Callithrix jacchus: one gene and its partner. The main gene of each other region encodes a partner of the protein of the gene in region 2 in a complex. Links are inferred from orthologs where the notes say so. Each region holds a gene or a part of one and is shown on either strand. Other genes may lie near its edges.

Region 1 (5,434 bases), on a different chromosome or scaffold from region 2:
TCAGACAATTCACTTAGTGATACAGATCCAATAATATTATATTAAAGAAATATCAAAAGTATTCAAAAAATATATTACTAGAACGTGTAAGCAAATTAAGATGTCAGAGTCTCTCTAGAAGTATTTTTTAAATAGTGGTTTAGAGTACTTAAGCGTATGTTTAAGTCACATAGGTGATATATTAAGTCCTTCCTGATTCATTTATAATCATGTTGCTAACAGTGTTCTCTTCAGAGATATAAAATGCACAAATTAGTGAAAAGGCCTAATAAATTAATTACAGAAAAGCACATTTTTTTTTCCATATAACATAATCTACTGTTAGATGTCATTTTAGGATAACAATACATGCGAAGCCTCCTGGGACTCAAAGGTGAAACTGACTTTTAAATTCCTCATTATAAACTATTATTTGTTAACCTAAGTTCATAGACCTTTTCTTCAGAAAAGGGTATTATTTTTTGAAACAAAAACAAATGGACCTTAGATTAAAATTATAAGCTTCTTACTATGGCATAATCCTCAGACTAACATGCTATCATATTGCTTGGGAACTTAAGAAAACGGTGAGACCATTCTCTAATTCTGTCTAGATTATATTCATATATGTGATTCTTTATAATCACTTTTCAATATAACTCTCACCAACTTTAGATTTGAAAAGAAATCTTAAAAATATGTATATGGAGATTCATATAGATACATGAACAAAAATGGTTTGCAGATTTAAACATTTAGCATCCTTGATGGCTGAAAAGGCTACATTCTGTTTCAATTCCATGCATGAATTACCTATAGGAAAGGAATAATGTCATATGATGTGTTTGAGTTTTTTAGAGTTCTATTATAGTCTTTTTCATTCTTGATGAAAGTATAACCTTTGAGAGAATATTTTCTGCAGAACCTAATAAGTGAAATGAATATAACTGATGTTTAAAAAGCCCCTTGCAATTCAAAAAGAATTTTACATGTATTATTTAGTACCTTACAGAACAATCTTCAGGTAGGTATTCCACTTTACACACAACTAAACAGATTCAGAGAGGGTAGGTAATATGTCCAAGGACAAACAGCTGCTTAGTTTGAGCCAGGATGAGAATCTAGACCTTCCAAATCCAGTACTGTCTGCACAAGTTCAATCCAAGATTTTAATATCCCATAGGAAGATTCTTAAAGAAGCTTATTAAAACAGACTTCTGCTGTTAAATCAAACTTTTTAAAATACTGTTTTCCAAACACTTAAAATAATTATTTTAAACTATCATACAGAAGGCATTCCATCAGACAAAGAAAACTGTCAGGAAATGAGTATCATCTCTTACCTAATAAAGTTATCTTAATAAAAAAAAAAAAGTCCTGTGTTTTTAGGCAATGATAACCCGATCGATAACTCAAGTCATATTTGAAAGCAGCCAACACACATTTTAAGAGTTCAGATAAAGATAAGACACGTTCCACGTTTTTACTCTCTTTAAAACTAGTAGGACTTTTTTTTTCCAATTTAACCGTTAACACAATTGGCCCAAACAGGAAAATACATGGCAAAAAATCCAAACCCTATTTCCTTCATACCATCCTATAAAAACGAATTTTCAATGAGAAAACTATACATACAAGTTAGAAGAAAACGAAGGCTGACATTAAACACTGTTCTTTTCTCCAGTGTGTTATTCAATTCCCAAGACATTTCCCTAAAAGACCCTCCACTCCCCCGCAAATGTGTGTGTGTATATGTGTATATATACATGTATATGTGTATATATACATATATATATATGTATGTATGTATATTTGTATGTATTTCCCGAAATATACCTCAGAAATTGCTCTGGCATTTTGGGGAGTCATTTATTAACTACAATTACTTATATTCATTCTTCGGCTACAGCCAGCTAATTAGCAGCTTAAAATCAGCTAAAAGCTTTGTACCACAATAATGCAAAAACGAGCACTACAGAAAATATTCAAGTGGCATTTATTTTTTTAGTCCTAACAATTATTTTTCCTTTCACATTAGTATCACGGAAAAAGCCAATCAATTAGAATTCAAAGGCACTTACTGAGTTATTAAGGTATTCAATAAACCTGTAATGAAGGAATATTAAGGACATAAATACCAATAACTACTTGTTTAAAAAGCACTTGGTGGTTTCCCAAAAAAACAGCCACGTTAAGAATATCAAAATTGTGGGTGGGGGGCAGAAAAAAAAGAATATCAAAATTATAAAAATTAACAGTAAAAATGCAAGTTAAAAAATAGGAGAAACCCTCTTTTCCCCGACACCTAGCAGCATTTCTGATCGTTTTTATCATTTGTAGACACTACACAGTTGCTGGCTACGTAGCAAGTTCTCACAAGAGCAAGGGGGAGGTGGGCTAAATCGACGTCTGCAGACAGTTTTAAAGCTCTTGCAAAACTCCATGTACGTTACAGCACCAAACTGACAAATGCAGCAGATGGCACGCGTTTCACAGAAAGGGGGCTCCCTTCCCGGCTTTGTTTTCTCCGGGAGATTTTATTTTACCTAAACTAAAAAAAAGAGACCCTTTGCCGGAGGGCTGGAGCGGCGAAGTTCGCACAGGGCAGGGGAGGCGGGCACGTGTACGCCTCCTAGCCCCCCGGCGAGGCGAGCGCGTGGCCCTTCCCCGCAGCGGCCGAGCCCGCTCCCTTGCAGAGGGCTCAGGCCCGGACCCCCGAAGTCCCCAGCCCTGGCTGGCCCCCAGAAACTGCTGGGCCGGGACCGGGTCTCCGGGGCACGCCGGGCATGGGGATGCATCTTCAGGGGATTCTCAGGAGGGCGCGGTGAGGATGCGAACCTTCCTCACAGGATTTCAGTCTCACCGGAAACACGCCTTCCAATCCTGACCCCCGAATTCAACCTCCGCCAGAGGGGGAGGAGGGTTGGGGGGGGGCCCTCGCCGGCGCGCGCCCCTCTCAGTGGGGAGAGGACTCCGGGAGGGGGCGGGCCCGCGTCGCCACGCTCCGGGCTGGGCCCAGATGGAGGGAACCGGGCCGGCGTCCCGGAGCGTTGGGGCGGGCGCGGCTGGACCTGTGGGGCTATGAGGAGGCAGCCGGACCCCAGCCTCGCAGGCCAGGACCTGACAGGGCCGCGGCCCCCATGCCCCCTCCCATCGTGCGGCTGCCCCGAGGGGGAATGAGGGAAAGGGAGCAATCTTCCCGAGCGTGCGAGCCGCGCCCACTGGTACTGACCCCTCGGGCCCCCGCCGCTGCTCGCCCAGGTCCCCGGTCTGCCGGCCCCGATCCCGCTCCTCTGCCTCCGCCGCCTCTGCACCTCGGAGAGTCTCTGGCCCCTCTCGCTCTGTTTGTTTTTGTTTTCTTCTACCCAGTAACACGGGGGCGAGAAGGCTGCGCTTATTGGCGGAGGCCCGGTGGCCGGTTGGCCAATCGTAGCGGCGGAGCCGGAGCTGGGGAGGAAAAGGGAGAGGAATGAAACGTGGAAAGTTGGGGAGGGGCGCGGGAGGGCGCATGCGCTTGTGGTTCCTGGGACTGGCTGGAGCGGGAGCTGAGCGGGAAGCCCGGGTGAGGGTACGTTGGGAGGCGTGGCGGGATGGGAGCGTCGGCCCACGGGCAGTGCTGGGGAATGGGGACAAAGAAGCTCCCCAGACCCAGCGCACCCATTCTCCTCGCACGGCGTGCTGCAAACTCAGCTGAAGCAAAGATTTTCAGCTTCCTGACGGTCCCTGCCTCCATTTCTAGACACTCCCAAGTGTTCAGCCTGTCGGATTCCTTCTCCCTCTGGCCCCTGCTCTCTCCAGGGAGAGTTTCTGCAGATCCCATAACTAAGAAGTTACTCTCAGCGAATCCCCTCAACCCTTTGAGATAGAAATCATTCCCATTTTACAGATATAAGACAGGCTCAAAAACTCTTTGAAGTCGCTTTGCTAATCATGACTAGCCAAGCCTCTGGTGTTCAAACGCACACATTCTGGACTCCCGTGCTGGGGTTCTGGGCCATGGCTACAATCTCTGTATTGAAATTCCCAGGTCCCCTGGCTGTTCTCTGTGACCTTTCGTCTTGGCTGCGTTCGTTTTGGCTGGTCCTTTCCGTATTCTTTCTCGGTCGCTGTCCCCTGAGGTAATAACCAGAACCTTGTGCTCCCTCTGCTCCCAGGAGGGGACTTAACCACTTACCTCTGATCAGATTTTCCAGTTGTTTGATGGGTCACACATGAATGATTGCTTGGTCTCTCCAGAACCCAACTGTCTTAATTCCGCACAAGCCACGCCTTACCCTGGCTACCCAGTCACCCTGCCTGGGAATCATCTCTAATGCTACTATTTCTCTGCACAAAACAAAACAAAACAATAAACCTTCATTGTCTTCCCATTGCCTCTCTTGAGTGTCAGCACCCGGGTCGGTCATTCAAGGCTCCACTATGTGACTTTAAGACTTTCAGGCTGTGTCTCCACATCTCCCTACATGCTTCCCCACCCGCTGCTAGTTTTGTTTGTTTGTTTGTTTTGAGACGGAGTTTCGCGCTTGTTACCCAGGCTGGAGTGCAATGGTGCGATCTCGGCTCACCGCAACCTCCGCCTCCTGGGTTCAGGCAATTCTCCTGCCTCAGCCTCCTGAGTAGCTGGGATTACAGCCACGCGCCACCATGCCCAGCTAATTTTTTGTATTTTTAGTAGAGACAGGGTTTCACCATGTTGACCAGGATGGTCTCGATTTCTTGACCTCGTGATCCACCCGCCTCGGCCTCCCAAAGTGCTGGGATTACAGGCTTGAGCCACCACACCCGGCCTAGTTCTTTATATATTACCTAGAACTGTCTCTCTTCTCTTACCTCTGTCTCTGCCTGGCACAATCCTGTCTGTGCCTCATGGCCCTCCCTGGTAGTTTTTTATTTTTTGTTTTTGTTTTTTTTCTTTAATTGGGGTAGGGGCTTGCTCTGTCGCCCAGGATAATGCAGTGGCACCATCACAGCTCACTGCGGCCTTGACCTCCCGGCTTATGAGATCCTCTCACCTCAGCCTCCTGAGTAACTGGGACTAACAGGCGCCCCTCACTATTTCCAGCTAATTTCTGTATTTTCTGTATGGACAGAGTTTCCTCATGTTGTCCAGGCTGGTCTGGAACTCCTGGGCTCAAGCAGTCAGCCCACCGCTGCCTCCAAAGTATTGGAATTACAACCGTGAGCCACTGTTCGTGGACTCTGGTAGTTTTTATGGAGCCTTGTGATTTGATACGATCTTCTTGCCCCGATTCCTCACAGTATTGGCTTGTCATGCCACCAGAGGCACTGATCACATTCTACCTGACGTTATTTTATCTAAGTCCCTGTCCTTGTTTAGGGAAGGACCTGTGTCTTACTCATCAGGGTTTTGTTATTGTTGCAATTGTTGTTTTGAGACAGGGTCTTGCTCTGTTGCCCAGGCTGGAGAGCAGTGGTGCAATGTTGACTCACTGCA
Region 2 (3,302 bases):
GGACACAGGGCTGCGAGCCATTAGTCCACATGTAGTCTCCAATGGTCTCCCTGGAGGCTGGACTAGGACTTGGAGAGGGTGGAGGTGGTCCTGGATGGGTAGAACTGGTGAATCCTGGGCTGGTGGTAGTGCTGTTGCTCGGATGAACCGTGGCATTTCCATGACTGGTGGTGGCAGGACTGTGAGTGGCAGTGCTGTTGCTTGTTGGATGAACTGTGACGTTTCCGTGGCTGGTGGTGGGGTTGTGAGTGGCAGTCATGGGTCCATGGCTGGTGGTGCCTATGGTGGTTGCCCTGTGAGTGGTAGTTTTGTGGCTCTTGGTAGTCCTGTGGCTTGTTCCAGTGCTTTCTGTAGCCGTGGGTGTCACCGTGAAGGACGGCAGCAGAGTGGCTGATTTTTTGTGAGGACAGTCATTCCCTGTCCCCTGGGCTTTTGGCAGAGAGATGGTTAGCAACCCAGGGGCCAACTCCCTCCCAGGGGCCCCCTCCCCTCAGCTGTCTTCCTCCTTACCTGCCAGTAGCCCCAGCAAGGCCCCCAACAAAAGCACAGCCAGCCTCATGGCTGAACTGCCTCACCCAAAGTCCAGCTCGGCTGTCAGTACCAGTTGCTCAACCCTACTGGCTCAGCCCTCTCTTGGAAAGGAGGAAATGAGAAGTCTCACTTCCCATACAGGAGATGATCCCACCCACAGCCTGACTCAGGGACCTCAGCTCCAGCCACCCATCTCTTAGTCATTAGTTTTCGAAATTGTTAGGGGACTGTTGGCCCCCACTTAAGCGGGAGCAATCAGGGCAAAGTCAACAGTGTCACGTGGATACAAAACCCTGAGGCTGTTGACCTGCAGGGACCCATTCCTCTCAGCAAAACTTGCTTGGCCGTTGGGGCAGACGTCTAAGGTAACAGCCCCTCCCTCAGTGGGGAAGTCAGTGTTTCCACTCCCCTTTCTCCTTGACCTTATGGGTGGCCCATCTAGTTCTTCCTTTTGACTGAGGCACATGAGGGGCTTGTGATGTTCACACCCAGCCCTTTACAGAGGGGCAGCACTCCTGCCATCACCATTCTCAGTGCTAAGAACAGTTGTTCAGCGTTTGGGAATGCTCAGATGGTGGCAAGAAAAGCAACAATCTGCTAGTAAAGGGGGGAGGGAGATGCACCCAATAGCAGGTGGAAGGGGGTAGGGGAGGTAAGAAATGAGAAGCCCAAACAGGCAGTTTCCAAGTCATTTTATTCAGAATTTTGTTTGTTTCCTGAATCAATAAATACTATACAAAACAATGTAAAAATGGCTACCATTTTCTCTCCCCTGCTTCCCCCCACCTGGGGACAATCCCCTGGGCAATCTTGCTGAGGGGTTTTCAGGGTTCTTCCTCCAGATTTGGTCCAGCAAATGAGGCTGAATGACACAGTCCCTTGAATCACTTTCAAAGGAGCTCAGCTGAGGTGAGGAGAGCCTCTGGGATCTGGAGGTTACTAGGTTAGGGAAATGGATTAGTGTTTTTTGGGAGAAGAGCCGGCGCCTGGGGCAAGAGCCTACCCCAAAGAAAAGGGTGTCTAAAATGTTCACGGTTCCTTCTTTTGCCTCAAAAAGTGACATTTATTCAAAGAAAAAAATGACAAGATGTCCATCCCTTGGCTCCCTTCCCTCCCCCCGCCTGCTACTCCTCAGCCCCCCCGAAGACTGAACTCTGGTTGGGGTTAGGTGGCAGGACAGCCCCTCAGATGAGGTCAGCAACATTGAGGGGCATTTCCTCAATGGAGGTGTTGTAGAAGGTCTCTATGTCTCGAAGAGTCCGCTTGTCTTCTTCTGTCACCATGTTAATAGCCACACCCTTACGGCCAAACCGTCCACCTCGACCGATTCTGGAAAACAAGGGAAGGGGATGAGGAACATGAGGAGCTTTAGTCCAGTGAAGGCCAGGCATGAGGGGGGTGGGGCAGTGTTCCAGATGTACACTTACCTGTGGATATAGTTTTCCCTGTTGGTGGGAAGGTCATAGTTGATGACTAAAGAAACCTGCTGCACATCAATGCCTCTGGCCTACATCAAGAGAGACAACTCTTCAGCATGTGCATGAGAACCTATCCCAAAGGGATGACACATGGATATCCATGTAGGCAGCCAAGGAAAGCAGAGGAAATAAGCATCCCTGTTCCCCCAAAGACCTTAGGCATGCCAGATTCTATTCCAAGTTGCTACTTTCCTGAGAGGGGCACTGGAAGTCCCCTTGGAGAGGGAATCACCTTGGATCCTCCCTTTTGCCTTTCCAGTAAATTCCCTCTACTCACCAGTAGGTCTGTGGTAATCAAAACTCTGCTAGAGCCAGAACGAAATTCCCTCATGATTACATCTCGTTCCTTTTGGTCCATATCTCCATGCTAGAAGAGAAAATAAGCATCTAACAGGCCAGGCAGGTACATGGGTTTTGGGAACACTGGCTTGGAGGAGGACACTTCTGATGGGCAGACCCACAAAGGGCTGGCAACAAGCAAACACACCATGGCAGAGACAGTGAAATCTCGAGCATGCATCTTCTCAGTGAGCCAGTCCACCTTCCTTCGGGTGTTGATGAAGATGACTGCCTGGGTGATGGTCAGGGTTTCATACAAGTCACACAGTGTGTCCAGCTTCCATTCCTGGAGGTGTGGGGACAAAATCAGTCAGGGGCTATACCCAACAACTCACTACCAGACCCGCCTCCTGCACTGGGCCCCACCTCTCGTTCCACATTGATGTAGAATTGGCGGATACCCTCCAAGGTCAACTCTTCCTTCTTGACAAGAATCCGAATGGGGTCCCTCATGAACTTCTTGGTCACCTCAAGCACGTCAGAAGGCATTGTAGCTGACAGCAAAACTACCTAATGGAGAAAAAGGCCAGCCTTAGAGCCTTTCTTAGGTGTCCTTTCTGACGCCTGCTCCCTTCCCTAGTCACACCTAAAACTGAAGTGGGTGGACGAGCGAGGTGGCTCAAGCCACCTTGTAATCCCAGCACTTTGGGAGGCCCGAGGCAGGTGGATCACGAGGTCAAGAAATCGACCCCATCCTGGTCAACATGGTGAAACCCCGTCTCTACTAAAAATACAAAAAATTAGCTGGGCACGGTGGTGCATGCCTATAATCCCAGCTACTCGGGAGGCTGAGGCAGAATTGCCTGAACCCAGGAGGCGGAGGTTGCAGCAAGCCAAGATTGCGCCATTGCACTCCAGCCTGGGTAAAAAGAGCAAAACTCTGTCTCAAAAAAAAAAAAAAGTGAAGTGGGTGCCAAAAAAAAAAAAAAAAAAAGTCAAGATAGCAATCCAAAA

Evidence for each region. The genes of interacting proteins can lie anywhere in the genome.
Region 1: the proteins of EIF4A1 (region 2) and PDCD4 are in contact, whole or in part, in a crystal structure (PDB 2ZU6), measured with the Homo sapiens proteins. The link is inferred for Callithrix jacchus from reciprocal best matches to the Homo sapiens genes EIF4A1 and PDCD4. Residues at the interface, in NP_001407.1 of Homo sapiens: Gln75, Thr109, Arg110, Glu111, Ile135, Gly137, Val140, Thr158, Gly160, Arg161, Asp164, Glu186, Leu188, Ser189, Arg190, Gly191, Phe192, Gln195, Ala214, Thr215, Met216, Pro217, Glu240, Leu241, Thr242, Asn280, Thr281, Arg282, Arg283, Thr329; in NP_055271.2 of Homo sapiens: Pro170, Gln173, Glu174, Glu177, His178, Glu183, Glu186, Met187, Asp190, Leu209, Glu210, Lys212, Glu249, Leu250, Leu252, Asp253, Thr254, Pro255, Arg256, Gly320, Gln321, Gln322, Ser323, Val324, Leu327, Glu348, Lys352, Glu355, Val356, Pro357.

The regions. Positions count from the first base shown.
Region 1 is NC_133513.1:103,813,001-103,818,434, reverse strand, and holds the start of PDCD4 (programmed cell death protein 4), read right to left. Parts: upstream 3,308-5,434; 5' UTR 3,212-3,307; intron 2,086-3,211; 5' UTR 2,061-2,085; intron 1-2,060. UniProt on the Homo sapiens protein: Inhibits translation initiation and cap-dependent translation. May excert its function by hindering the interaction between EIF4A1 and EIF4G. Inhibits the helicase activity of EIF4A. Modulates the activation of JUN kinase.
Region 2 is NC_133506.1:74,070,561-74,073,862, reverse strand, and holds the end of EIF4A1 (eukaryotic initiation factor 4A-I), read right to left. Parts: intron 2,859-3,302; coding exon 2,715-2,858; intron 2,635-2,714; coding exon 2,497-2,634; intron 2,377-2,496; coding exon 2,287-2,376; intron 2,249-2,286; exon of another isoform or gene 2,108-2,248; intron 2,039-2,107; coding exon 1,959-2,038; intron 1,861-1,958; coding exon 1,716-1,860; 3' UTR 1,207-1,715; downstream 1-1,206. Other genes in the region: CD68 (macrosialin), read right to left, coding at 1-429, 511-559. UniProt on the Homo sapiens protein: ATP-dependent RNA helicase which is a subunit of the eIF4F complex involved in cap recognition and is required for mRNA binding to ribosome.